Linked DNA regions of Callithrix jacchus. The protein of the gene in region 5 interacts with the protein of the main gene of each other region in a pairwise test. Links are inferred from orthologs where the notes say so. Each region holds a gene or a part of one and is shown on either strand. Other genes may lie near its edges.

Region 1 (4,293 bases), on a different chromosome or scaffold from region 5:
CACCCACACCCCTCCCCCAGAGTGCCAATCTTGAGCATCCTGACAGGTGTCCATAACCTGGTGCGTGGCTTGTGCCCGCTTGGCAGGTGTACACACAAGGCTGCACGTGCCCATGTGAGGTACAGGTTCCCAGGCAGGAGATTTACTCTCATTCTCCACCCACTCTCCCCGCAGGAGCCCAGCAGCAACACTAGGTCCTCCAGCACAGGAAGCAGGCAGCCTCAAGACAGGCTGGAGCTGTCTTCAACCACCTCCTCTCCTCCTTGACTACTGGGCTGTTTCTGGAAGCTGGGGAGGGAAAGTGTGGTGGGCGTGGGTGGAAACATCATTCCAGCCCCTCTATCACATGACACTACTCTTTCAAATCCTCTCCCCTCCTTCATACCCACCCCTGGGTTGGCACCCTCTGCCTGACCAAGTTTCTTAAACACCACCTTTCCCAACATTACTGAGATTACTATCAGAGAACATTCAGCCATCTGACGTAATTTCAAAGCGTGTAAAGTGAGAGGCCCCCGGAAGAAAAGATTGATTTACATGGGCTATGAAAGAATCACAGCAGTGGGCTGGGCGTGGTGGCTCCCGCCTGGAATCCCAGCACTTTGGGAGGCCAAGGTGGTGGATCACAAGGTCAAGAGATCGAGACCATCCTGGTCAACATGGTGAAACCCCATCTCTACTAAAAATACAAAAATTAGCTGGGCATGGTGGCACGTGCCTGTAATCCCAGCTACTCAGGAGGCTGAGGCAGGAGAATTGCCTGAACCCAGGAGGTGGAGGTTGTGGTGAGCCGAGATCGCGCCATTACACTCCAGCCTGGGTAACGAGAGTGAAACTCCATCTCAAACAAAAAAAAAAGAATCACAGCAGTAACACCAGCTCTCGGGGCAGTAGGGGCCAACACAGATCCCTGTGTATTTCAGGTGGAATCGGGCCCAAAAGGATTCCTACAGTTTGTTATCAGCTTTCTGTCACCCTGTCAAATGATCAGGAGGAAGTTATCTTATATTCAGACTAAGATTCATGAGCTAAAACGAGTAGAAAAGTCACTCTTCATGACAAAGTTATAAAGATAACCTGAAAACAAACATCCAGAATGCTTTCTTCTTCCGTACTTGTGCCTTCTGCGGAACGTACTTGCTAGACTGTTACCACCATACATCCGGAATGTCCTAATGGTCAGTCCTCCTCCCACACATCCCTGGACAGAGTTCTGAGATAGTTACCTCTGCACTGGATTCCTCCATCCTACATTTCAACCCCTCTGGTTGCATGGCCCTGCCCTTCCAAGGCGGCCTTAGGTAACTCTGGAGAAAGCAAAGCCACCCCTTTGTGACATAGCAGCAGTAGAAACAATTCAATCAAGAGGACCCCAGGAAACAGCTGACTGCAGGCAGGAGGAGACCCGAGACTCTCTAGCCTGTGAGGACGTCACCAATTCACTGACCTCAAAAGCATCCAGGCCCATGGCCCTTACATCTGCCTTTGGTGCACAGCAGGGCTTAATTCTCTCGACGACTCCAAATAACTCTGTGCCCCTTTGTCCACGGACTAGGTTTTCTTCTCATGGATTCATTCTTACGCGTTTGATTCCAGTCCCAGTTCTAATTCTCCCTGAGAAATCCAGAGCAATTGCACAACACTAAGCACCAAGAGATCTCGTTTTGAGAAGGCTGGGCTACTTCAGAGTATCACAGAAACTCGGAATGTTAGGACTGGAAGTGGTTACCAGACCATCTGACCCAGCCACCTCACTCGTGGGGAAAAGAGCCCAAGGCCCGGAGCGGCTATCTGCTCTTCGCCAGCACACCGCCCGCTGGCAGCCACCCCAAACTAGAATCTGAAGCCCTATCTCTGCTTATTCTACATCTTGCTAGAGTTCTGACGGAGGAGGTGGGGGGTTCTTCTGGGTAACACTGGTAAGTTATATCCTTCTGTGATTACCCCTACCTGAGGTAGAACCACATTGACTGGGATTTCTGGGCTTTCTGATCTGGGATCTCTTTTTCTTGTAAAATCTGGCCTTGAGTTCTGTGGAAAAGACAAAGGAAGATTGCAGCTTCCCAGCTCATCCTCTGGGCCGGGTTTCAATTGCTCACCTAAAAAACATAGAACTTCCTACTCATTTATTTCCCTCTTGTCAATTATGTACAATTACGAAAATCTGAGTCTGGAAGAATGTGTAGATGGTATCTGATATGATGGTTTATCAGTCTCCGAACAGATATTTAGGTAGATATTATAGCCAGGCTCGGTGGCTCAGGCTGTAATCCCAGCACTTTGGGAGGCCGAGGTGGGTGGATCATGAGGTCAAGAGATCGAGACCATCCTGGTCAACATGGTAAAACCCTGTCTCTTAAAAATACAAAAATTAGCCAGGCATGGTGGTGCATGCCTGTTGTCCCAGCTACTCCGGAGGCTGAGGCAGCACAGTCACTTGAACCCGGGAGGTGGAGGTAGCAGTGAGCTGAGGTCACGCCAGTGCACTCCAGCCTGGTGACAGAGTGAGACTTCATCTCAAAAAAATAAATAAAATAAAAAATAAAAAGGATAGATAGAGTTGATGTAAAAGGCTTTTGAAAGTCTTTGAAGCAGAGATAGCTGTACCTGCTTGTCTAAGATTATTATTTCTATCTCAAGTAAAAAGCCATACCAATGTGAGTTGCCAAGTATAGGTCCTATGCAGAAGTTGGTCACCAAAACACTCAGAACATTCCAGAGGTGACATCACAAAACAGCTCATGGTTTCTCTCTGAGCGTCACAGGTGGGAATGAGGCATCTGACAGGCAGGTAGAGCTTGTGGGGGCTGTGACTACTTGGCTGGTCAGGGTCAGTATGACACACAATAGCCCAAACATCACCCGCTGTTGGGTCATCCCAGCAGCATTCATGTCCTCACTGCCGGGCTCAGTGGAGAGTCCTGTCCTTTCACCAGAAGTGGTATCTTCTTGGAGTTGGGTCACTCAAACTAAACTCTTCCCAGACCAAGGGAGAAAGTGTAGTCTGAGGTGTCTTCTGACACTCTCGATTCTTTAATTCTCTGACACCAACTGTGTGTCCTACCATTCAATTTCATTCTGACACCATCTACCTGGAGTTAGTGTTACAGAGCGGAAGGGGCTCACTGGCCAATGCAATAGAAGACAATACTAAAACTAAGTTCTTTAAAAAAGAAAAGCTTTCATATTGAAAGTCAACTCACAAGGAGACAAGAGTCAAGCTCAAATCTGTCTCTCTGTGCTGGCATTAAGGCCGCATTTTAATAGGAAAAGGAGGTTCAGGGGGTGGAGTCTGAGATTAGTAGGTGATTGGTGGATGGAAATGGGAGGTCTGGAAAGCATCAAAGAGTAAGAAACCAGTAACAGAATTTTTTGAGTTTGCAGGACAGCAGATAAGAAAAGAAGGAAGCTTCTGAAACACTGAAACTCCCTCCACTTGCGAGATCAAAAGCCTGGCTGAAGTGGGTTAGAACCAAGATGGCTGACTGGAGTTGGCATGGAATGAGCCCCAATTTCCACCCTTGTTTCGTACTGACTCCCTCTGAATTTGCACACGCCACTCAGGAGTTAACATGAAGAAGTAACTGCACATGCCCAGGGACTTTTCAGACCTCCCCTTTCCTTGCACGAATCACCTACTAATCTCAGAATCCACTCCTTGAACTTTTTCTAATAAAAATGCTGCCTTAATATCAGCACAGAGAGACTCCTTGACTCAGATGAAAAAGATCTTTGGAAATGTAATTAATCGTCTTCTTGGTTTTACCAAAAGCAGATTTTCTTCAGTCAAAGCTTCTTGTAATGTGGGTGTGGGAGATGGGAGAGGGAGTTATAGCGTCTCTGATTCTGCTGACCCTGGTCTATCTCTTGGAGTTCACTTTCAAAATAAAGCTATTCTTTTATCCAAAGCCCAGTGTCATGGTACTGGCCTCTGGCACATCAGGCATCAAGCTCCTTTTGCCCAATCACATTAGCATCAGATCCCGTAAGCTAGGGGCTCAGTTGCACAAGCCCACTTCACTTCAGATGCCAATCAGAAATCTGAGCCACCTGTACTTCTGATTGATCAGCTACACATATCAGGGGTTTCACCATGTTGACCAGGATGGTCTCGATCTCTTGACCTCGTGATCCACCCGCCTCGGCCTCCCAAAGTGCTGGGATTATCGGCGTGAGCCACCACGTCCGGCCTGTTACAGTTTTATTATAAAGGTTACAACTCAGGAACAGCTAAGTAGGAGAGATGCATAGGACAAGATATTGAGGATGGGGAGACAGGGAGCTTCCATACTC
Region 2 (3,960 bases), on a different chromosome or scaffold from region 5:
CCTATTCTCAGCCTCCCAGAGCTCTAGGATTATAGGCATGAGCCACAGCATCTGGCCAATACTTTAGTAATTTAAATATATCTTAGATTTAAAATCATGTTAACATAATAAATGGACTTAGAAGCACTGTGTTTCCCACTTTACATGTCATTTTCACACTGATTCAATCTTCACATGTACCTAGCAGTCAGTATCTGTGCCATCATTAGATCCATTCTTTCAATCGGCACACGTCATCTTTCTTCCATCTAGAATGTTTGAGTCACAGCAATGTTTTGAATCCATGCATGATGCTGTCCCTGAAAATTCTATACCAAGCATCAACTACACAATCAGATTCTTCATGTGTCCTGTATGTGTATAATCACAAACTCCACGTCACCACTTCCTGTTCTGACTTAAGTGGTCTTCATTTAAAAGGTCTATTTACAACATCAATTTATTCAAATTTGTCACCTTTTAAAAGAAGCTGATTCAATAAAAGGATCTCTGTAAGCATGCAAAAATGTATGCATCTGAGGTTTTTCAGAATAAAGTCTTCTCCAAATTGTACTCTACTTCAAAATAAATTAACTGAGAGTGCCCATTAGAAAAGTCTTCAAGGTCTTAAATATAGGGTAATTCTCTCTTCTCTGAAGGAAAATTCTGAAGGAAAAACCTTGAGTTGTATTGGGTATAACTTTACTGGTATGAAAATATGTTTATAATATATTGGTAAGTGAAAAAAGTAGGTAGACTACATAACAATGTATAGGCTATCAACCCACATTAAACACACATACACACACACACACACACACACACACACACACACACAAAGACCTGACAAATATATAGCAAAAATATTCACCTGGTATTTGTAAATATTGTACATTAAACAAAAATAATTTTGTAACAAGAAAAAAACTCTACAGTTAACTATAGTGTTTTCTGAAAGTCACTAGTGCCTTACTATAGTTCATCTTTTCCTTAGATTTATCTGTATGCAACCTCTCTTCTATATGCTACATATTTCTAGTAGAAGGGATCTGGATGCACTGGTGATGTGAAAACTGCATGAAAATAAAGTACACAGCTCACATGCTATTTGAATCTTTTGTATATATTAAAGTAACACTGCAAAATGTGTAAGACCTGACCTGTTCCCTAAGAGATCACTGCAATCTAAACTATGTAGGACCACTGTAACATTACCAACTGGATCATCTGTAGCCTGAGAGTTCACACCACTCCAAGCACTTTCTTCTAGAGCAAAACACTAATTATTGTAAGGTCTTGACTTTTTCCTTAACATTTAAAAATCAACTTTATTGATGTATAACGTACATACTATAAAATGTATTCGTGAAACGTGTGCTTTGTGAGTTCTGACTGACTATAAACAAGCACTAATGTGCTTCCTGTTCATACAGATAGACTGGGAGTCGTTTTTAAGTAGATAAAGACTTTTTAAAAATCCTTTTACTACAATATTGTGGTGAGAATGTGCTCCTTAATTAGATCCCTAGAAATCCAATCTTTCACTGTAGCTGTTTTTCTGAGAGTGGTGTAAGAAAGTAGAGAGCAAAACGAGACTTCTTGACCAGTAAGACACGAGAACAGAACTTTCTCCAGTGTTACAAACTGATCTACTGGTGGGAACTGAGCCCATCAACACATTAGCTTCAGTTGTAACCAAGAAGCAGCTTTAAAAGTAACACCTGATGGCATTTTAATGTAATTACATTGTATCTTTCCTATTTCATAAATTTGTATAGGGCCTTCAGGGCATTTCTGGAGAGTCCTCCAAGAATATGAACATTTCCGCAATGCTCTGTTTTGTGACCAAGACCATCGATCTGCAAGACATGGGCTACAAACCACGTAAACATCAGGACATAATATAGTGAATTACACTCAAACGTATGCTCACGGACTTGTCACTTTAGTACTCTAACCGCATGTGCTAACAAGCCACAGTACACTAAAACAAACCACATGGGTAATGTTCTTAGACCTGCCTGTACCTGTACCTCATTCTCTACGAATTTACGACCAGCTCTTTCAGTACGAACTTAAGACCACTCGTAAAGACACCAAAATGGGATGCTGTCAGGAAGGTCAAGGAAAAGTACGGGAGAAGTGGAAGCCCATACCTGAGCTCTTCTGGTTGGTGACGGGCTTGCCTTCCTGGGGCACGGCGTGCTGGAACACATGCTGCGCGCGCTGCACCGTGGCCCGCTTCAGACAGATGTCCAGCAGGTCGTGGGTGGTCCCGACATTCTGGGCAAGTACGAACTGGGGGTCGGAATTCAGTTTCTGTATTAGAGCAGCTACCTTCTCCGAATTCAGTCCTGTTGGGAAACCAAACGGGATTTCAATGCCAAAAAGACCGGGGGAAAGAGCTGATCTGGGGCTCCCGCATCCCGGATCTAACTTGGTAAGCGCATCCTGAGGTGCCCGCTGCAGCGGGGAAACCCAGGAGCAGCATCCACCTCCAAGGCGCCGTTTCCCTTCAGGGCCCCTCCAGGCCGCTCCAGCCTGCCCCGAAAGCTCCCTCCCCGCCATCGCCCCCAGCCTTCCCCGCCGCCGGGCCTCACGAGGACCGCGGAGCTCCTCCAGAGAGGACCACGGCGGCGCCTCACCCGCGCTGCTCATGGCGCCCACGGTGCCCGGCGAGGTAACGGTAGCTTCCAGGGTCCTCGGGCGAGCTCCGGGACTGCGCTGCGGCTCGCTGCCTAGGTGGCCCGACCGGCTTCTTACACCCGGAGCGCCGGAAGAAGGAAACCGGCTCTGCTGCGGCGGCCAGGAGTCTGAGGTCGGGAGAAACGGGGTCCGCGGAGGGACAAAACTACCCCTCGCGTTGCTGAGTCAGCGACGTCGGAGCTAGCCCCGCCCGGGGGAGGGCCGACGGGGGCGGCCTGGCTGACGCGCTAGGTCGGCCCGCGCCCACAGCCGCGCACGACCACACCATTGCCCTGCGCGCCTGGGCGGCGCCGGAGCGCGATCCCCCACTACCCCGATGGGTTCCCGCCTCCGCGCTGCGCGGGCGCCTTGCTACAATCAGGCCAGCTCCAGGAGGGAGGCTGACGGGTTCCCTACGGGCCCAGACCCCGAGTACTCACTCTGGCATAGGGGAATTGTCCCCAGGAAGCCTTGTGAGAAGCCAAAAGCGGGCTCGAGGCGGGAGGGAGATGCTGAGAGGTTCCGTAATTAAGCGTCGGGCTTAGGACGGGTTGATTTGTCACAATACATGCACCCGAAGGCTCTTCCTACCGTAGGCTTCGTTTGCTGACCAATCACTGCATTTTCAATGGCCACTTGTTGATTGGATCAGAATCAAATAATTGTCTTGGAGGAGAAATTGGAGCCAAGCTCTTTCCCACCCACTCCAAAGCTACTACCAGAGTTCTGCAAATAGACATGTGCTCATTTCAAGAACACTACCCATCTGGTCTTCATGGAGTCCACGAATGTCTCCTATGTAGTCCAGCATGTCCTGTTGGGTTTAACTCAGGAGAGAATGACAGTGGTCAGCCTTAAGCATCAATATTGTTTCACCGGATTCTCTACAAAACCTCTAGGCTTTCAAGATAACTCAGCAGTTTTCCAAAGTTTTGAGATTGTAAAAACCTTGTTTTTGTTGATTCTGTTTTTCATGCCCTGAAATCTCAGCCCTTAGTGAGATGTTGGGTTAGAACCCACAGAGGGTAAAACTAAAACACTGAAACCCTGTATCTGCTATTCAAAACAATGAGTGTGTGTGTAACCTAGAATCTAGGTCTTCTTAGACTGAAAATCATCACAGGAACTCTGATATCTGGAAAAATCCATACTCAGGCACCAATCAGTCATTTGAGAAATTAGTTTCCATGTCCCTAGAGAGACTCAGCTAAAACTTGGGGTTATAACAGCAACTATTTTAAGTGGGCCCATCTACCATCTATTCTTTCAATATCTGAAGAAGGGGCTGAAAATTAT
Region 3 (4,040 bases), on a different chromosome or scaffold from region 5:
CTTCACACAATGACGTGTTGCTGGGGCCTAATGTTCTCACATAACAGTAGAAAACCGAAATTTGTTGTCATCTCTTTCAAGATTTGACAGTTGTGTACAATAAAAAAAAAACCTTACATAAATTAAAAGGATGAATACATTTACAGGTGTAAATGAAAACCGCTTCCAACTCAAGGCAAGTAACAGCCCATGGTGCTCTGGCAGGAAAACATCAGGTAAGAAAGGAGACCGGGTCCTATGGCTTGGACTTTCCCACCCTGACAGACTGGCAGCCCTTGCCAGCCTCTAGAGCAATCCCAGAACACTAAGCTCTGACACATGAATACCCTGCTCAACTAAGAGACTGCTGGCCATGCACTCACCAAGGCAGACTTGTCTGCCCCCAAGCACATTTTTACCTCAGCCACGAAGTGACCAAGCCACATGTACTAAAAGTTGAAATCTGCTATGTACAGGGTATTAAACAAATAAGGGGAACAATTAACTTGAATACAAGGTCAAAATCAGCAACAAGTTCTACAATCCAGTGCTGATATCAGATACAAGCTTCAAGGACAATTTCTTTTCAAAGGCTTATTCCAGTTTCATGAGGCTAGCATGAGGTGTATGCATTTGCCAGGGGCAAATTTATACTTCCGAATTAACCCATGCAGCAAATGCTACGCATCTGCTCGCAGTCCATTTAGAAGCATTTGCGGTGGACGATGGAGGGGCCAGACTCATCGTACTCCTGCTTGCTAATCCACATCTGTTGGAAGGTGGACAGTGAGGCCAGGATGGAGCCGCCGATCCACACGGAGTACTTACGCTCTGGGGGTGCAATGATCTGCAAAGACAGCCAGGCATGGCTTGAGTTCACACAGCATCCCCAGCCAGGCATCCTGAGCCAGGCCGAGGGCCACCGATCCCTTAACTCACCTTGATCTTCATGGTGCTGGGCGCAAGAGCAGTGATCTCCTTCTGCATCCTGTCGGCGATGCCTGGGTACATGGTGGTGCCGCCAGACAGCACAGTGTTGGCGTACAGGTCTTTGCGGATGTCCACATCACACTTCATGATGGAGTTGAAGGTGGTCTCATGGATGCCACAAGATTCCATGCCTAGGGGACAAAGCCCTCCCTTAGTGGTGCTATGGTGCCCAGAATCAAAGCGCTCTCAGAAGCCCTTAGACTGAACACCTACCAAGAAAAGAAGGCTGGAACAGCGCCTCCGGACACCGGAACCGCTCGTTACCAATGGTGATGACCTGGCCGTCAGGCAGCTCATAGCTCTTCTCCAGAGAGGAGGAGGATGCAGCTGTGGCCATCTCCTGCTCGAAGTCCAGGGCGACATAGCACAGCTTCTCCTTGATGTCGCGTACGATCTCCCGCTCGGCCGTGGTGGTGAAGCTGTAGCCGCGCTCCGTGAGGATCTTCATGAGGTAGTCGGTCAGGTCCCGGCCAGCCAGGTCCAGACGCAGGATAGCGTGTGGAAGGGCATAGCCCTCATAAATGGGCACCGTGTGGGTTACCCCGTCTCCAGAGTCCATGACAATACCAGTGGTGCGCCCAGAGGCGTAGAGGGACAGCACGGCCTGGATAGCCACGTACATGGCTGGGGTGTTGAAGGTCTCAAACATGATCTGAAGGTAGAAGACGAGACGGCTTAGTCAGGGGCAAGGACCCGCGACCACCCCATGCTCACACGCCACAACATGCTGCATGCCAGTGTGATGTGTGGAGAACAGAAAAGAACGCAGGCAGAAACCAAATAAGAAACCTGGAGGCTTCAGGGAGGAAATGCCGGGAGAGGAACAGAGCCTGGAACAGCGAAAGAAACACTTAAATGTCAGAAATCAAGCTGGGCAGAAAATGACTAGGAAAACGGACGAGAGCACGGGCATCGCCGAGCCTCACCTGAGTCATCTTCTCTCTGTTGGCCTTGGGGTTCAGGGGGGCCTCGGTCAGCAGCACGGGGTGCTCCTCCGGGGCCACACGCAACTCATTGTAAAAAGTGTGGTGCCAGATTTTCTCCATATCATCCCAATTGGTGACGATGCCGTGCTCGATGGGGTACTTCAGGGTCAGGATGCCGCGCTTGCTCTGGGCCTCGTCGCCCACGTAGGAGTCCTTCTGGCCCATGCCGACCATCACGCCCTGCAGGGAGTTGCCATCAGGCTCGCCGCGGCCCCCGATCCCATCCCGCAGCGCAGAACCCAGGAGCCCCGTGGCGCCCTCCACTCACCTGGTGCCGAGGGCGCCCGACAATGGAGGGAAACACGGCTCGGGGGGCGTCGTCCCCAGCAAAGCCAGCTTTGCACATGCCGGAACCATTGTCGATGACGAGCGCAGCAATTTCTTCTTCCATTGCGACCTGCCAGGAAAGCGACGGACTCAGGCGGGGCCCGCTGGAAAACAACCCCGCCACCCAGAGCCAACCAAGACCCTCCGGCGGAGGAGCGTTACGCTCCACCCCAACCCCGGAAGCCGAAGCCTCCAACACCACAACAGCTTTGAACCAGCACCCGTGCCTTTTACGTAAAGCCCACCGCCCCGAACTCCGCACTGCGGCCGGGCCCCGCCCTAAACCTACGGCATCCGCCCAACGGTACCCGCGTGGCCCACCCAGGCGGAGCCAGCCTTTTGTTCCCGAAAACGACGCGGCGAAGCGTCCGCGGCGGAAAGCGGGGCCCGCGGGGGTCGAGGGGGGACGGCCAGAAACATCCTCCTCGGGTCCGATGAGGAGCGCTTACCAGCAGAGGAGCAGGGGAGCGGAGCAGCAAGAGAACACCGTACGCGACCTGGCAGCGGCGACTGAGACCGACTGGGGCCTCCCGCGCCGCTTTTTAAGAGAAAGCAGCGCGCCCGCGCGGCCCGGCGGCGCGCGCGGCCCCAGAACATGTCCATATATGGCGATCTTTCCGAAAGCCGGGCGCTCATTGGCCCGCCCGGCCTGGTCACGTGGGGCCCCGGTCCGCCCCGCCCCCAGCCCGCACCACCTCCCACCGGCACCGCCTGCGCCACCCCCGCGCGCTCGCGACACTGGGGCTGGCGAGGGGGGCTGGGTGGGGTCTCCCTCCCGGGGTCGCTCGGAAGGCCGAAGGGCTGACGGGCCTGGCTGCGACCCGGGACTGCCGTGTGGGGAGGGCCGGGCTGCGCCCCGAAACTGCCTGACCCGGGGCGGGGCCATGCGGGAGCTGGGGTGGGTCCCCGCGGTCCGGGCCACGCTGCGGGGCTTTGCTCCCCGGGACGTCCCCTGCGGGCTTTCCCTTCGGGCTCCACGCCCGGGCCGGGCTGGGGGAGGGGCGCGGCGGGGATCCCCGGCGCTCGGCGTTTCTAGGTGCGGGGGAGCCCTCACCTCGCCCCGGTCACCATAGGAAGAAGCCTCCCGTCCCCGAACGCAGCCACTACCCCACAGGTCCCTCCACGGGGCGCCCCGCCCCGGGTCTCCGTGGGTTTGGAGCCCGATACCCCTTTCTACCCGAGCCGACACATCCCTGTCCCTGAAATCACAGGCCCGGTTTGCCCCAGGCGCAGGCTCCGGGTAGGGGCTATCCCGCCCCCTATCTGCTGAGTAGGCGGTGCGCAGCGAGGCCTTTGTTTCATGCTGCTCACCTGTAGACATTATAGGGAAACTGAGGTAGAGACCATAATCTTGACTTTCTTGAAGGTCGGCTCCCCAGTCTGGGGAGGCCGCGGGGAATCCCCTCCCTGTTTTCGAGGCCAGTTAAAGGCAGGGGGTCAGGGCTGGCGTGGGTTTGGGCACAGGCTGGCTGGTCCCGGGCGCGCACGCCTCGCTTGGAGACTCGGCGGGAAGACCTGTCATCCCCGGCACCGGCCTGGCCGCACCTGCTAGCGCGGTGCTTCGGTTACACCCCGCGGGGCTCCCGGCGCTACGGTTTCCGTGTGTGCTGTGGAATTTTCAGGATGAGAGTGCCGGCCACGGAGGGGCAGTGGGGCGGCGCAGTGAGGCGACGACTCGGCCAAGGTCGCAGACCGTTCAGCTGTACTCGACAGGCTGGGGGGCGGGACCGAGGTCCCCACGCGGAGTCCCGCGCCCTG
Region 4 (3,500 bases), on a different chromosome or scaffold from region 5:
CATTTAAATATTAAAAAACAACCTTCGGGCTGGGTGTGGTGGCTCAAGGTTGTAATCTAAACACTTTGGAAGGCCAAGGCAGGAGAATCGCTTTAGTCCAGGAGCTTGAGACCAGGCCGGGCAACCTGCCTTTATTTTTTAACAAACAAACAAACCAACAAACTCCTTAAGTTATCTTACAAAAAAACAAAACAAAACAAAAATGCAACCTACCACCTAAGGGAATGCTGCCTTGTCAGATGAGAGGTCACAATAAAAGCCTATTGCTCGGAAAATGAGTCAGTGACATCTCTATACACACATGAGAACTACAGTAAAGCAGTGAGAGCCACGTCTGTGATGCTTCAACTGCTTGTTACTTCCTTAGTAAGAACAATGAAAAGAACATGGTGAAAACTTCATCTAACATAACTTTAAAGGACCCAGAATATTTCTGCATTTAGAAGGTGTCCACCTAGTTAAAATAAAGTTTCAATTTCTGCTAAATTGAAACTGTGGTTCTATTTTCAAGTTTAAAGTGTCATTATACTGGGAAAATTCAGGTTTTATGTATTTAATGCAGAATCAAAACATTCCATTATATACCGGGGTTCAGTGTATACCATTGGTGTTCAATAAATAACTGGTTTCTGCTTTGTTCTACAGGAGAGGAACAGAGTGAGTAGGCAGCTATTCTGACCAGCCAAATCCAGAAAAATTCTGGACTGTGGAATTCCTGGAATCCTAAGGTGTTCCTATGTGTTTTATATGAAAACAACAACAACAATTAAGCAGCTTCTTCCCAGAGTGTACACATTTTTGTTCCAAAGTCTAAAATCTTTCAATGTTGTGTATCAATGACACTATTATACAAAGTAAACAGACTCATATAAAGACTTTTCCTTGGACCTCCAAGTCATTACCTATATCAGGTATTTCCAACACCCCTCTACATGGTCTGCTCAAAGGAGCAGCTAGCCAGTAGGGTACCTTAAGGTAACACAGCAACACAAAGACCAAACACAAGTTCCCAGAAGCCTCCAAAATGGTACCTGTATTGCAACCAGTCAAGTGGTTGCTTGCCTTTTAGGAAGCATCCTTAACACTCTTAGTGCTTTAATCAGCCCTTGCTCATAGCCACTTAGGCCAACTGCCTAGAGCATGATGGAGCCAGACCTCACAGAGACTCAGCACATGAGGATTCATCCTCAGCATCTGAAACTACATTCTGCTTCCTTTCACCTTCTCTAAGCTTAATTCCCTTAAGTTGTTTAATTTTCCAACATACGAAAGAAGAAACTTATTTACCAAAACAATACTGGCAAAAGTCTCAAAACACACAGCAAACAACATATCTACAAACCAAATACAGGTATATCTACTTAATTACAAATGACTGTAATTTATTCTAACACACATGCCTTTTGGGAAAGCCTTATAAGTAAATTTTTAATCAACCAGAATAAAGGCTATGACCAGTTTTTTGTTTGTTTGTTTGTTTGTTTGTTTGTTTGTTTTAAGCTGTATATCTAAAAGGAAAGCCTCATGAAATAAGAAAAGCCAGGATTTCGGCCGGGCGTGGTGGCTCACGCCTGTAATCCCAACACTTTGGGAGGTGGGCAGATCACAAGGTCAAGAGATCAAGACCAACCTGGCCAACATGGTGAAACCCCATCTCTACTAAAAATACAAAAAAATTAACAGGGTGCGGTGGCGCGCACCTGTAGTCCCAGCTACTTGGAAGGCTGAGGCAGGAGAATTGCTTGAACCAGGGAGGCGGAAGTAGCAGTGAGCTGAGGTGGTGCCACTGAACTCCAGCCTGGTGCCTGGTGATGGAGTGAGAATCTGTCTCAAAAAAAAAAGCCAGGATTTCTATCTGTTCTGGGCGTAGCCATTTAGAGTACAATGACAACCAAGCCAATCTCTCAATGATCTCCTCTGGAAAAAACAAAGCAGCACTACACACCACCATGGGATAGGATGGGGCTGGATTAAAATAAGACCCACATCATCAGATGTCAGGTACTTTGAGCATATCTGATCACAATTCTTGGAAAAAGCTCTTTAGAGGGCTAAATTGATGAATCCCTCTCTCTTAGATTGAGCAGTCATATTCTTTCCACTTGAATTCCCGTCCAAAGAGATTCCACTACTTCCCATCACCTCATATGGAAACCCCCTACAATTACATCATTAATACTTACATTCAAAGCATTCTTTGCAGCTTCTGCTTCTGAGCGACTGTCAAAACTGACAAAACCTACGGGCTGAGGAAAAAAGAGAAATATGAAGAAAAAAAAAATCAGACGATATCTATTTTTCTGGGTTAAGGGTGCTATCAAACTGAAAAGCTAAGACAAAGAAATGATCACAGGCAATGGGTAGAAATAAGAAAGCGAAATACCGAAGAATCATGACTCAGTGGCTTAGCCAAATTTCTAACATGAATCAAAGGGATGGTGAGGGTGGTTCTTCAAGGGCACAGCTGGGGATTTAGAGAATCATAAAAAAAATCTAGAAGTGGTTGAAAGGTGAACAGCAGTGAAGAAGGGAATAGAGGAAAACTTGGGTCGGAGAGGCTCTACTTTCCTAAATCAAATTCACTGTACCTCAGTTTCTTCATCTTTTAAAATGGAAAGAGAACCGAATCACCTTTTGGTACACTGTAAGTGCAAGGAATACAATGATACAATGATAAAACCCCTGGACTCTCACTGCATGACCAAAATGACAAAGTGAACATTCCTATCTCAAATCCCAAGGGATGCCTTAAAAATCTTGTGCTTAATTACGCTGTTCTGAGTAAATACAGGAAGGCCATAACCCCTTTGGCCTCCACACATCTATCAATCCAGAAGGGTGTGCCTCCAAGATCATTCTTTTGATGAAACAGAGAGATAGAACAGTGACTGGAGGAGAGGTGTGTATGCCAAGTGTTTAACTTAAAAAAAAAAAAAAAAAAAAAAAAAAAGAATATAGCTACGATCTCTAAGAAACTTGTAGGAAACTGTCAGAATCACTGACTACCACTTCCATTTTGTACCTTCTCTGTTCCATTCTAGACTTGGGACTCTGCCTTACTTTAGTGGTTTGACAGACAGCATGATCCTTCACTATCTGACATGATGTTAAACAAACTGTAAAAGTTTAACATCATAAAAAGAAATGAGAAAGACTTGGGAATAAAAGTGAATTTAGATAATAAGCCATTATTTTCACTGATTCACCAAATCAATCTCAATAAACTACTGTGTTTATCTTGCTCTGGGACAGTCCCTGAAATTCCAGCTGAAGACTACAGAATTATGAAACATTTTCCTGTGCTAATTCCTAATACATCTCACTCACTCTTAATGTTAAAGACCAGAAAAAAAAAAACAAAACTCAAATTCTAATGTGAATAAAAAAAGAATATCAAGCCCCAGCAACATTCCTGAAGAAAGTAAAAAAGTGATCTTTATATGCCAGTTTGAAATTCTTACCTGTTTAGATGTGAGCTTTATAAGAGAACCCTCATAGCC
Region 5 (3,712 bases):
GTGCATAGTAGACATGTAGTGAATCCCTTGTCAGCCCTTGTCCAACTGGGGCAATTCCTTTGGTTTTGATGACTACTACTCATTGGATGCTATTTTGTGCTGGACTTTTGCCAGCCCAATTACTATATGTGCTGTCGAAGCGAGCATTGCCGGCCCAATTACTTTTCTTTCTTTTTTTTGAAACTCTGTTGCTCAGGCTGGAGTGCAGTGGCATGATTTCAGCTCACTGCAGCCTCCACCTCCCCAGTTCAAGTGATTTTTGTGCCTCAGCCTCCCGAGTAGCTGGGATTACAGGCATGTACCACCACACCTGGCTATTTTTTATATTTTTAGTAGAGATGAGGTTTTTCCATGTGGGCCAGGCTGGTCTTGGACTCCTGGCCTCAGGTGATCCTTCCGCCTTGGCCTCCCAAAGTGCTGGGATTACAGGGGTGGGCCACTGTGCCAGGCCCATCTTAGTTTAATTTTTACCACAACTCAGTGAGGCCAGTTGTATTTTTCTCATGTGATAGATGAATAAAATGAAACACAGGAAGGTTAAGATGTTTGCCTAAGGGTGCACAGCTAGGAAGCTGCCAGCTCAGTTGGCACCCTGAGGGGTTTGTCTTTTTTTTGAGATGGAGTCTTGCTCTGTCGCCAGGCTGGAGTGCAGTGGCACGATCTTGACTCACTGCAACCTCCCACTCTCTGGTTCAAGTAATTTTCCTGCCTCAGCCTACCGAGTAGCTGGGATTATAGGCAGTTGCCACCACACCCAGCTAATTTTTGTATTTTTAGTAGAGACGAGGTTTCACCATGTTGGCCAGGCTGGTCTCGATCTCCTGACCTCGTGATCTGCCTGCCTCAGCCTCCAAAGTGCTGAGATTACAGGCATGAGCCACCATGCCCAGCCTCGAGGAGGGATTTCTTACAGGAGGAGTCTTTTTGGCCTCACCTGTAGTTAATCAGGAGCCTCTTGCACATGAAATTGAACCTAGAGAGACTCTACTCTGAAGTATGGGGTAAACATATTGGTTTCTCATGTAATAATTTAATCAAATTGTAATGTTCTCTTATATGGTAAATTCGTTACTTCAAACGCTATATTTATTGAAGGAATGTATTTAGAAGTTAGGTAAGTGTGAATTACTTGTGGTGAATGAGTAGTGTTTTATTAAAAAAATAAGGAATTTAAAAAACAAACAAAAAAATGACACAAGAAAACAGACTTTAGGCTGGGCGCGGTGGCTCACACCTATAATCCCAGCATTTTGGGAGGCTGAGGTGGGTGATCAACTGAGGACAGTTTAAGACCAGACTGACCAACATGGTGAAACCCCGTCTCTAGAAAAAATACAAAAAAAAATAGCTGGGCGTGGTAGCATGCACCTGTTAGTCCCAGCTACTTGGGAGGCTAAGGCAGGAGAATCACTTGAACTCGGGAGGCAGAGGTTGCAGTGAACCAAGATTGTGCCACTGCACTCCAGCCTGGGCAACAGAGCAAGATTCCGTCTCAAACAACAACAACAACAAACACAAATTAGCCAGGTGTGGTGGCGCATGCCTGTAATCCCAACTACCCAGGCGACTGAGGCAGGAGAATCGCTTGAATCTGGGAGGTGGAGATTGCAGTGAGCTGTCTCAAAAAAAAGAAGACAGAATTTAAATTAAGACATGTTTTAGATACATGCATTAATATAGCAGCCTTTGGGTTTAGTTATGGAATTGACTCAGTCTTTTTTTTTTTTTTTTTTTTTTTCAAGATAGGGACTCAGTATATTGCATAGGTTGGTCTTGAACTCCTGGCCTCAAGCAGTCCTCCTACCTTTGCCTCCCAAAATACTGAGATTATAGGCATGAGCCACCATGCTGGCCAGGATTAACTTTTTTTTTTTTTTGAGATGGAGTCTCACTCTCTTGCCCAGGCTGAGGTACAGTGTGAGCCACCATGCCTGGATCAGAGCAGCCTTTCATTGAGGGCTGACGTAACCCCCCTACTCTGACATGACCCTTCTGAAGATGCTACTGAATGCTCAATGTTACAAGTTCTCTCCACTCTGGCTGGTAGTGACATGAATTATTTCTAGCCCTCTGGAAGTTCTGGGTATTATTAGATCTACTCCTTCTTAGTGATTTTTTTCCCTGGCCTCTTGAAGTTTCATTCCATAGAAGAGAAGATCAGTACTTAGCCAGAGACTCAGGGGGACCCCTCTGCTGATCTCTGGAGCTCTCACTTTCTGTATAGTTCCCTCTTCTCTGATATATGGTTTCTCTCAATTTGGGTGTGTCTGTTTTGTCATGATTGGATTGAAGTTATACATTTGAGGCAAGAAAACCACAGAAGTGACATTGAGCCCTTATCCGTTTGGATAATTTTACCTACTGTTGGTCTTCTGTGTTGTTTTATTGCTGTTAAACTAAAAATTGTGTTTTCAGTGGATGTCTTTTTTCATGTATTTTTCTAGATTCCAAAATGAACCTGAATGATTTCATCAGTATGGATCCCGAGGTAGGGTGGGGCACTGTCTACACACTTTCTGAATTTACACATTGGTTTGGCAGTAAAAACTGCTGAAGTTGGCCTCAAGATATGGAACTGTGGAAAAATTCTAGGACACGAACATGCTATTCCTCCACTGAGGACAGCAAACACTAGGGTAGAGTTGGCTTGGAATTATGTCTTTCTCTTTCAGTTCGATTGAGTGGAAACCTGAGTGAATACGAATATAAATGAACAACATAAAAACTTTTGTTTTGACATGTTAAATTGAAACTTGATATCTAGTGTGTACTTGCTAAGATATTCCTGTGGCTTATTTGTTAAAACATGTGGACTTAAGCCAGTGATCGTTTTTGTTCAGATAGAGGTATGGAGGTTGAGCCAGCCCCTCATATCTGTCTGGATGTTTTGTGTCTCTCCAACTACATTGTAAGCTCCTTGAGGGCAGACCCATGGTCCATTGTTCTGTGAATCTCAAATGCCCATAAAAGGTGCCCATAAAATGTTTTCTTTTTTCCTTTTTTTTTTTTTTTTTAGGGAGACTCACAGACTAAAAATGTTTTCTTGAACATTTGAATGTGCTGTTAGGAAAGGGGTGATATTGTGAGCTGAATCAGCAAGAAGTATTAGTCTTTTTGGACTATGATATTGTTAAAAAGAGGGCAGCCCTCTCAGACTTGAGTGTTATTTAGCTTATTTATTTATGGCTTTAAATAAAATTGATTTAACACTGGTTTTGTTTTGAAGGTTTTTGTGTCACCCTTGATGATTTGAAATACCTAAAAATGCCTCAATTGTAGGTGAGAACCAGGGCTTTAAAACATATTTATCACATGTACCTTCCGGAAGACATCTTGGTCATTTGGCTTTAATCATATTCCAGATAAAAGATATTTGGCATTAAACTGGTGTATAGTACCAACTCTCATGTTTTCATGATTCTGCTTTAAAAATGAACAACTTCTTACAGCAAGATTATCTGACCTTTTGTTCTTAGATTTCTATTTATTAAGAGACTGTTGGCTGGGCATGGTGGCTCATGCCTGTAATCCCAGCACTTTGGGTGGCCAAGACACAGGTGGATCATGAGGTCAGGAGTTCGAGACCAGCCTGGCCAACATGGTGAAACACTGTCTAAAAATACAAAAATTAGCTGGGTGTGGTGGTGGGCAACTGTAATCCCAGCTACTCGGGAGGCCAAGGCAGGAGAATCGCTTGAACCCGGGAGGCAGA
Region 6 (3,500 bases), on a different chromosome or scaffold from region 5:
CATTTCTAAAAGGGTCTGCTTTACCTCTTTGTTTGTTTTCTTTTTCTAATCATAGCTAAAAATAACCATGCACAAAGTTGAACAGCTGAAAAGAATTTTTTAATGAGTTGATGAATTCTTTTTCAAGTTTCTTTTGTCATAAGAAAGACATAGTTTCAAAGTAATTATTTTTGTAACATTTTTGAAAGACGATAGAATTTTCAGAAAGCTCTTGAATATTTCAATAAGCTCACTTATTGCTTTATTTTAGTTAATGAGTCACATCTCAAATAGAATTTAATGGGACACTTGATACGGACATCAATACTAGAGCAGCAACTGCGTCAATATTCTTAGTGCGTAACTCAAAAGCTTCACAGGACTCATGCTATTGGTATTTGACTATAATTTAAATTTACCCTAGTTTATAAGTTCGAAGTGAAAGACAATTTCAAATAAAATCTCATTGAATAATCAAGTTTAAGTAAAATCTCCAGAATGCTTCAATATTTTATGTTTTAAATAATATATGGGTGCCAGATTACCTAGTATAATTCATTCCTCAATTCTCTCAAGAATGAGTATTGCAATTATCTGTATCATAATATTTTGACAAACAATAAAATAAGATGTATTGTTCATGGAAAGTATTGAAGTCAGATGAATGATACATATACATATCTTTCTTGTTGGGCATAGAGTTGGCAAAGTTAGGTCAAAGTTTTAAGGAAAAAAATGATTAAAACTTCTTCAACAGGTAATATTTATTTTCCTACTATCAGAAGGAAATTCCAGAAGGATTTTTTGCAAATAAATAAAGTTTAATAAATACCTACTATGTTTGATTTCTTCTTGACATTAATGTTACAAAGATATTTCAGAAGAAATCCCAAGATACTGAGAATTTTCCATAATAATACATGTGAAGAGAATCCTTCATTCTCTCAAATGCAAAGTCTAGTAACTTGTAATAATAAAAAAGTCTTGTGGATTCAGAGAACATTATGTGAGCTACATTCCCTTATGCTTGTCATTACATTCCTCTAGCGCATACATTAATATAGCTGAATTTCGAGAATATATGATTTTCCAAAAGATACATACAAAGGTACTAACAGCCTAGATTATCAACATTGAATGCTTTTAAAAGAAAATGTAAAAGAACAAATAAGAAGAAGTAATTACATTATTGTAATCTTCTTCATTATTTTATTTGCAATGAATTCTAGTTTTTATCTACCATAAATTCTATATGTTATAGAATGGCTTAAAACACTAAATGCAATGGTAGTGGTGCCAGATATTAACTAATATGTATTAGAGGTGGGATAAAGTAAAAGAGGTAACAAAATAAACTGATATTATGATAAGAGGTAACAGGAGTTCCCAAAGTATGTTCTTTGGGTTGTTAATAGTATTTACCAAGTTCAAACAAACAAAACAGAGTGGCGGTTCATGGGTGAATAAGTGTACAAACTGATAGACGTTTTAAAGTTACACTTGTTTTGTGCAGAATTCTCAGAAACTGATATTCTAAGTATATCAAGAAATTCCATCAGTGTGGACCATATGAAGCATTTCCTAAAGTACCCTATTTGCCTGCAGTACCCATTTTATAAGAAGTTAATCATGAGGCTTGAGTCCCAAACTTTGAGAAATATTCAAACTACACTATGGATTGTTCACAATTTTGACAAATTAAGGTAAATGGAAAGAAATGTCTCCAAATATTTTCTTTTCGGATAAAAAATTGTTGAGTTTTTTTCCCTATTAATATTAGTAAAACAACTGGTATGGGCTGAAAGTGTGCTTTCCCAAAATTTATTTGTTGAAGTCCTAGCCCCCAGTACCTCAGAATGTGATTGTTAGTAAAGACAGGGCCTTAGGATGATGATTTAGTTAAATTAGGTTCATTAGACTGTCCTAAAAGAACTTAAGACACAGACATGTGTACAGAGAAAGGACCATGGAAGACACGGGGAGAAATCAGTATTCTATAAGCCAAGGAGGGAGGCCTCAGAAGAAACCAACCATGCTAGCACCTTGATCGTGTACTACTAGCTTCTACAATTGTAAGAAAATGCATTTCTGTTGCTTAAAGCACCCTGATTAGGGTACTTTGTGACGGTAGCCCTGGCAGACTAGCATAGTCACCACTGGATTTGTCACTTCCTTCTTCCTCCCGTCACTACGTATGACATTCAGAAATTCACATCAACTCTGGATTCTTTCTTACCTTATTATTTGTTTCCTCCTTTGTAGAAAATTGTCTTTTTACTAAACACTCTCTGATAGACTCACACATTTGAAAACCAAATCGAAATTGTTCTCTATGTTCACAGGATTCTTCTACGAAACCAGGAAGCTTCAGATCCTGGGTGATTTTAGCTTCTAATGCCTCCTTCTGAGGTGGCAAACTCTGTTTCTTTTTCAGTGTACTCAATTCTTTCATTGCCATCTCTAGTTTTAGCCTGAGTTGTCTTCCTTCCTCCCTGGCACTGTTCCTTTCCGCTCGAACTTTACTCCATTTTTCTCTCCAGTTGGCAGTGCAGTCCGACCACCACCGCATGGTCTTTTCCATCTGAGCAGCTCTGGCCTTGACTTCTTCAAGTTCCCGGAGGCGAAGTTCTTCACAAATATCCCATTCATTGGTGTTACATGAATGTGCACATAAATTGTGAGCAGCATGAGACTGTAGCCCATAAAATGGGAAGCAGGTATTATAGGTATCCCTGGTGGGTGAGGCAGGTGCCACCATGTCACAGTGTGACTTAATTGATGACTGCTGCATCTGGAAGATCTGTGTTTCCTCAATTAACCGATGAATGGAATCTAAATTCATATTTATCGTTAAGACCTAAGAAAAGATAGAGAACATAATTTCACTCTGAAATTTCCCTTGCAATTACAAGAACAAGACCTACATTTTCGAAAATTTATGAAAGCAATGCATCTTTTCTAAAAAAAGAAAAAATACATTGCTTTACATGCATTTGTTTGTTTGTGTGTCTCCTGCTTTGCTTTTTTTCTTTTTTGCTTGTTCTTTTATTTTCCTTTTAGTTTTCTTTTTTTTTTTTTTTTGAGACAGAATCTTGCTCTGTTACCAGGCTGGAGTGTAGTAGCCCAATCTTGGCTCACTGCAACCTCTGCCTCCCAGATTCAAGCAATTCCCCTGCCTCAGCCTTCCGAGTAGCCGGAGTTACAGGCATGTGCCACCACACCTGGCTAAATTTTGTGTTTTAGTAGAGATGGGGTTTCACCATCTTGGCCAGGCTGGTCTTGAACTGACCTCATGATCCACCTGCCTCGGCCTCTCAAAGTGCTGGGATTACAGGCGTGAGCCACCACATCCAGCCCCATCTTTTCAATATTGCATATTTTTCCAGTGTAGCTAAAAATATGGAGGAATTTAAACATTTGTAACTATCCACTAAGAAATAGAAAATGCTCATATTCAATTTTGCCAAACAAATACAAGTCAAAATATAAAGATACAATTTCAGATAGCATATGACATAAAA
Region 7 (4,269 bases), on a different chromosome or scaffold from region 5:
TGGGAAGTCACTTGAACCCAGGAGGCAGAGATCGCACCCCTGCACCCCAGCCTGGGTGACAATGAGACTGTTAAAAAAGTAAAAGAAAAACAAAACACCTTGCTTTCACTTTAAAAAATTTGTTTTCAATTCATCTATGGAACCCCTGGTACCTACAACTTAACTGTCTAGTGACTTTGGGGAAGTTAATTCCTTTTTTTTTTTGACAGAATCTTGCTCTGTTGCCCAGGTTGGAGTGCAGTAGTGCGATCTTGGCTCACTGCAACCTCTACCTCCTGGGTTCAAGGGATTCTACTGCCACGGTCTCCTGAGTAGCCAGAATTATAGGCTCATGCTACCACACACAGCTAATTTTTATATTTTTAGTAGAGTTGGGATTTCACCATTTTGGCCAGGCTGGTCTCGAACTCCTGGTCTCAAGTGATCTGCCCACCTTGGCCTCCCAAAGTGCTGGGATTACAGGTGTGAGCCACCGCTCCTGGCCTCTAGTGTTATTTCTTAAACTCTCTGAACCTTGGTTTTAAAAAATCCTCTAAATGAGGATAATAGTTCATAATTCCTAACTTTCGTCATGAAAATTAAGAGTTAATATATATTATGTGGGAGAAATGTAAATTCTAGTTCGAAAAATAAAAGAAATAATGTAAAACTTCTGATTTACTTACTGGTGATAAATACAAGGACATTTTTGTTTAGTAGTGGATATTAAAAGGCTAAGGTATTCATATTCCACTGGAAACATTTGAAAGAGTGATTAGCAGTTTTATTTCAAAATGTCAACACTGAGAACACACTAGGATTTACATCTTTTTTTTTTTTTTTTTTTTTTTTGAGACGGAGTTTCGCTCTTGTTACCCAGGCTGGAGTGCAATGGCATGATCTCGGCTCACCACAAACTCCGCCTCCTGGGTTCAAGCGGTTCTCCTGCCTCAGCTTCCCAAGTAGCTGGGACTACAGGCACGTGCCACCATTCCCAGCTAATATCTGTATTTTTAGTAGAGACGGGGTTTCACCATGTTGACCAGGATGGTCTCTATCTCTGGACCTCGTGAACCACCCGCCTCGGCTTCCCAAAGTGCTGGGATTGTAGGTGTGAGCCACCGCGCCCGGCCTAGGATTTACATCTTTTTCAACTAATTATGATGAAAACTTGTCAGTGAAATGTGTTACGACTGTTTTATACAAATCTTTTACGTCGATGAGTAAGTATCTTAGAAGTTATTTATCCAGAGACTCGCCTTAATTAGGAGACCCTACAGAGCGCCCGGAAGAAATGTAATAAAGGCATTTCACTTATTCCCTCGCACAGCCCTGTAGTGAAAATAATTGAATGAAATCAACCACATGCTCCGAGTTCTCGCCCTAACGTAGCCTGTAGTAGCCAGGTTCCACCACTAGGTAGCACACGCCAAAAGCTCCGAGGGGCGGGCCGCCCGAGTACGCCACTCGGTAGCCCTGTGGTATCTCTCGGCTTCCGTTGAGCACCGAGCAAGATGGCAGCCTCCGAGACGGTTAGGCTACGGCTTCAATTTGATTACCCACCGCCAGCTACCCCGCACTGTACAGCCTTCTGGCTTCTGGTCGACTTGAACAGATGCCGAGTCGTCACAGATCTCATTAGTCTCATCCGCCAGCGCTTCGGCTTCAGTTCTGGTGCCCTCCTAGGCCTCTACCTGGAGGGGGGGCTCCTGCCCCCTGCCGAGAGCGCGCGCCTCGTGAGAGACAACGACTGCCTCAGGTGGGCGGTGCGGGGAACGGGACGGCCGGGTGGGCGGCGGGCGGGGGACGCGCCTGCGCACGCCTGGGCCTGAGACCGCTAGGCCTGGATGGGGAGGGGGTGAGGGATAGGAAGGAGGACGAGGGATGGGGGACGGGAGGTGGGACTGTAAAAATGGACGTTCGCGAACCCCGGAGATCCTGATTGGTGTAGTCAACTTTGGGATTCAGGAACCTGTATTTTATTATTTATTTTATTTTATTTAATTTTTGAGACGGAGTTTCTCGTTGCCCAGGCTGAAGTGCAGTGGCGCAATCTCGGCTCACCGCAATCTCCACCTCTAGCGAGTCTTCTGCCTCAGCCTCCCGGGATTACAAGCATGCGCCACCACGCCCGGTTAATTTTGTATTTTTAGTAGAGATGGGGTTTCTCTATGTTGGTCAGGCTGTTCTCGAACTCCCGACCTCAGGTGATCCGCCCGCCTCGGCCTCCCAAAGTGCTGGGATTACAGGCATGAGCCACTGAGGCCAGCCCTTTTTGATACTGACTCCCAGTCTGTCACCCAGGCTGGAGTGCAGTGCTGCTATCTCGGCTCACTGCAACCTTCACCTCCTGGGTTCAATGGATTTTCCTATCTCAGCCTCCCGAGTAGCTGGCATTAAAGGTGGGTGCCACCATGCCCAGCAAATTTTTTTTTTTTTTTTTTTTTTGCATTTTTAGTAGAGATGGATTTCACCATGTTGACCAGGCTGGTCTTGAACTATTGACCTCAAGTGATCCTCCTGCCTCAGCCTCCTAAAGTGTTGGGATTACAGGGGTGAGCCACTGCGTCTGGCTGGAATCTGCATTTTAACGAGCATCCTTCCCGAGTTGCTTCTGATGACAGGAGGACCAAACTCGGAAAAACCCTGATGTCTAAGGGCAGGCCCAGGGTTTCTTTCAGCCTTGATTTAGCACATCGGCCCCTTAGCAAGCGAGGAAGGCACTGTTTTCCATGCCCATGGTGCAGGTGTGCGGAAGACCCAGCCTTACCCTTGGCGGCGTTCAGGGTCAGGTACAGGAGACCCAAGCTGACAGAGGGGAATCATCACATTTTCTTCATAACATGCTCCTGTCCAACTTTAGTTCTCATGTGCCTGGGTTCACTCAAATAGGTGTCTGAGTCCTTTCGGGCTGTGAATTGGGAAACACAAAATACTCTGAAATATGCTTTTGGAAATTAAAATGATAATAAGTTGAGGATCCAGGAGCAATTGTAGTATGAATTGCCAAAATGTGGTTGAGTTGCCATGGTAAGATGATGAGATCCTATGATTCCAGTTTGGATTCATATCTTGGACCCATTTATTCAGGCTTTTTCTTTTTTAAATAAAGAGACTGGGTTTCCCATGCCCAGGCTGGAGTGCAGTGGTGCAATCATAGCTTGCTGTAGCCTCCACCTCCTGGGCTCAGGCAATCCTCCTGCCTCAGCCTCCTGAGTAGTTTGGACTTCAGGCGATGTAACCAGGCATGGATAACTTTTGTGTTTTTTGTAGAGACAGAGTTTCGCCTTATTGCACAGGCTGGTTGAACTTGCGGTCAAGCTGTCCTCTTGCCTCAGCCTCCCAAAGTACTAGGATTACAGGCGTGGGCCACTACGCCAGCCTTCCCTCCACCCACCCCCTTTAAGCTTCAGCTACAGTGAATCAATTCCAGAGTTGTGAACCAGGCTATTTTCTCTTGCTGCCCTTTGTTACTGAATATTCCTTACCCTCGAGCATGTCAGATTCCATAAGATTTCTTCAGAACGTCAGGGAATTTAATTTGGAACAATAACTGCTTCTTCAAATCAAAATGTTATGATTTAATAATGTTCAACTGTTTCAAATGATGATTTGAAATAATCTAAATTTCAGAGGTTTTTTTTTTTTTCCTTTTTACTGACTGTGAAATAGGTGTCTATTCTCTCTGCAGTTCAAGGACTATTTAAATACTCAATTGTAAGTATTGTGTCCTATCTTATTAAGTGTATTTTTTGCACTGTCCCTTGCCTAATTAGTTATTAATCTGTGCCAGCTAACTATAATTATACTTTAATGAATCATCTGGGCATTACATTCTTCATAGTGAAGTTAACAATGACAAAAAAATGAAAACTCTTATAAGTAATAATTACAACATGATGACAGGCAGATTCTTCGTAAATGCTTCAAATGCACAGCTGCATGTGGTAAAAAGACCTCTGCAGTGGCTTCAGTGGCAAATGGGCAGTCTGTAGAAAAAGACGAATCTGGAAAATTCATCTTTGTTTTTGTTGTTTCAGGCCCACAATCATTGTCTTTCCCTGAAAAGTTCACTTTTCTTCAGAGCTACAGAAGAAAACATAGTCTCTGTTCTCAAAGTACCTAATATTGTTGGACTGGGACCAAAATAATGAGTTTCATGCTTCTGTATATTACCTTCTGTGACACCGGCAATTAGACTGACCAGTTAGACCAAGTTATACTGCTAAGTGCAGAAGTCGGTTGAGAAAGCAGACATCAGCATGGAACAAAATGGTTAGGGAATTGAGC

The links.
Region 1: the proteins of NTAQ1 (region 5) and CBY2 interact in binary tests that used the Homo sapiens proteins (3 or more experiments, as listed by UniProt). The two-hybrid records come from large-scale screens. The link is inferred for Callithrix jacchus from reciprocal best matches to the Homo sapiens genes NTAQ1 and CBY2.
Region 2: the proteins of NTAQ1 (region 5) and BLMH interact in binary tests that used the Homo sapiens proteins (3 or more experiments, as listed by UniProt). The two-hybrid records come from large-scale screens. The link is inferred for Callithrix jacchus from reciprocal best matches to the Homo sapiens genes NTAQ1 and BLMH.
Region 3: the proteins of NTAQ1 (region 5) and ACTG1 interact in binary tests that used the Homo sapiens proteins (3 or more experiments, as listed by UniProt). The two-hybrid records come from large-scale screens. The link is inferred for Callithrix jacchus from reciprocal best matches to the Homo sapiens genes NTAQ1 and ACTG1.
Region 4: the proteins of NTAQ1 (region 5) and RBPMS interact in binary tests that used the Homo sapiens proteins (3 or more experiments, as listed by UniProt). The two-hybrid records come from large-scale screens. The link is inferred for Callithrix jacchus from reciprocal best matches to the Homo sapiens genes NTAQ1 and RBPMS.
Region 6: the proteins of NTAQ1 (region 5) and CCDC102B interact in binary tests that used the Homo sapiens proteins (3 or more experiments, as listed by UniProt). The two-hybrid records come from large-scale screens. The link is inferred for Callithrix jacchus from reciprocal best matches to the Homo sapiens genes NTAQ1 and CCDC102B.
Region 7: the proteins of NTAQ1 (region 5) and COIL interact in binary tests that used the Homo sapiens proteins (3 or more experiments, as listed by UniProt). The link is inferred for Callithrix jacchus from reciprocal best matches to the Homo sapiens genes NTAQ1 and COIL.

The regions. Positions count from the first base shown.
Region 1 is NC_133506.1:164,856,529-164,860,821, reverse strand, and holds the start of CBY2 (protein chibby homolog 2), read right to left. Parts: upstream 2,801-4,293; 5' UTR 2,744-2,800; coding exon 2,654-2,743; intron 2,032-2,653; coding exon 1,951-2,031; intron 1,920-1,950; exon of another isoform or gene 1,275-1,919; coding exon of another isoform or gene 1,227-1,274; exon of another isoform or gene 1,187-1,226; intron 1-1,186.
Region 2 is NC_133506.1:103,329,405-103,333,364, reverse strand, and holds the start of BLMH (bleomycin hydrolase), read right to left. Parts: upstream 2,801-3,960; 5' UTR 2,638-2,800; coding exon 2,625-2,637; intron 2,334-2,624; coding exon 2,136-2,333; intron 1-2,135. UniProt on the Homo sapiens protein: The normal physiological role of BLM hydrolase is unknown, but it catalyzes the inactivation of the antitumor drug BLM (a glycopeptide) by hydrolyzing the carboxamide bond of its B-aminoalaninamide moiety thus protecting normal and malignant cells from BLM toxicity.
Region 3 is NC_133506.1:137,174,493-137,178,532, forward strand, and holds the start of ACTG1 (actin, cytoplasmic 2), read right to left. Parts: upstream 2,801-4,040; 5' UTR 2,732-2,800; intron 2,353-2,731; 5' UTR 2,347-2,352; coding exon 2,224-2,346; intron 2,136-2,223; coding exon 1,896-2,135; intron 1,622-1,895; coding exon 1,183-1,621; intron 1,101-1,182; coding exon 919-1,100; intron 827-918; coding exon 683-826; 3' UTR 1-682. UniProt on the Homo sapiens protein: Actins are highly conserved proteins that are involved in various types of cell motility and are ubiquitously expressed in all eukaryotic cells.
Region 4 is NC_133514.1:31,625,894-31,629,393, reverse strand, and holds part of RBPMS (RNA-binding protein with multiple splicing), read right to left. Parts: coding exon 3,462-3,500; intron 2,247-3,461; coding exon 2,184-2,246; intron 1-2,183.
Region 5 is NC_133517.1:73,963,403-73,967,114, reverse strand, and holds the end of NTAQ1 (protein N-terminal glutamine amidohydrolase), read left to right. Parts: intron 1-2,444; coding exon 2,445-2,554; 3' UTR 2,555-3,212; downstream 3,213-3,712. UniProt on the Homo sapiens protein: Mediates the side-chain deamidation of N-terminal glutamine residues to glutamate, an important step in N-end rule pathway of protein degradation.
Region 6 is NC_133514.1:111,492,655-111,496,154, reverse strand, and holds part of CCDC102B (coiled-coil domain-containing protein 102B), read right to left. Parts: intron 2,837-3,500; coding exon 2,216-2,836; intron 1-2,215. UniProt on the Homo sapiens protein: During interphase, forms fibers at the proximal ends of centrioles to maintain centrosome cohesion. During mitosis, dissociates from the centrosome following phosphorylation to allow centrosome separation. Contributes to CROCC/rootletin filament formation.
Region 7 is NC_133506.1:109,380,970-109,385,238, forward strand, and holds the start of COIL (coilin), read left to right. Parts: upstream 1-1,469; 5' UTR 1,470-1,493; coding exon 1,494-1,738; intron 1,739-4,269. UniProt on the Homo sapiens protein: Component of nuclear coiled bodies, also known as Cajal bodies or CBs, which are involved in the modification and assembly of nucleoplasmic snRNPs.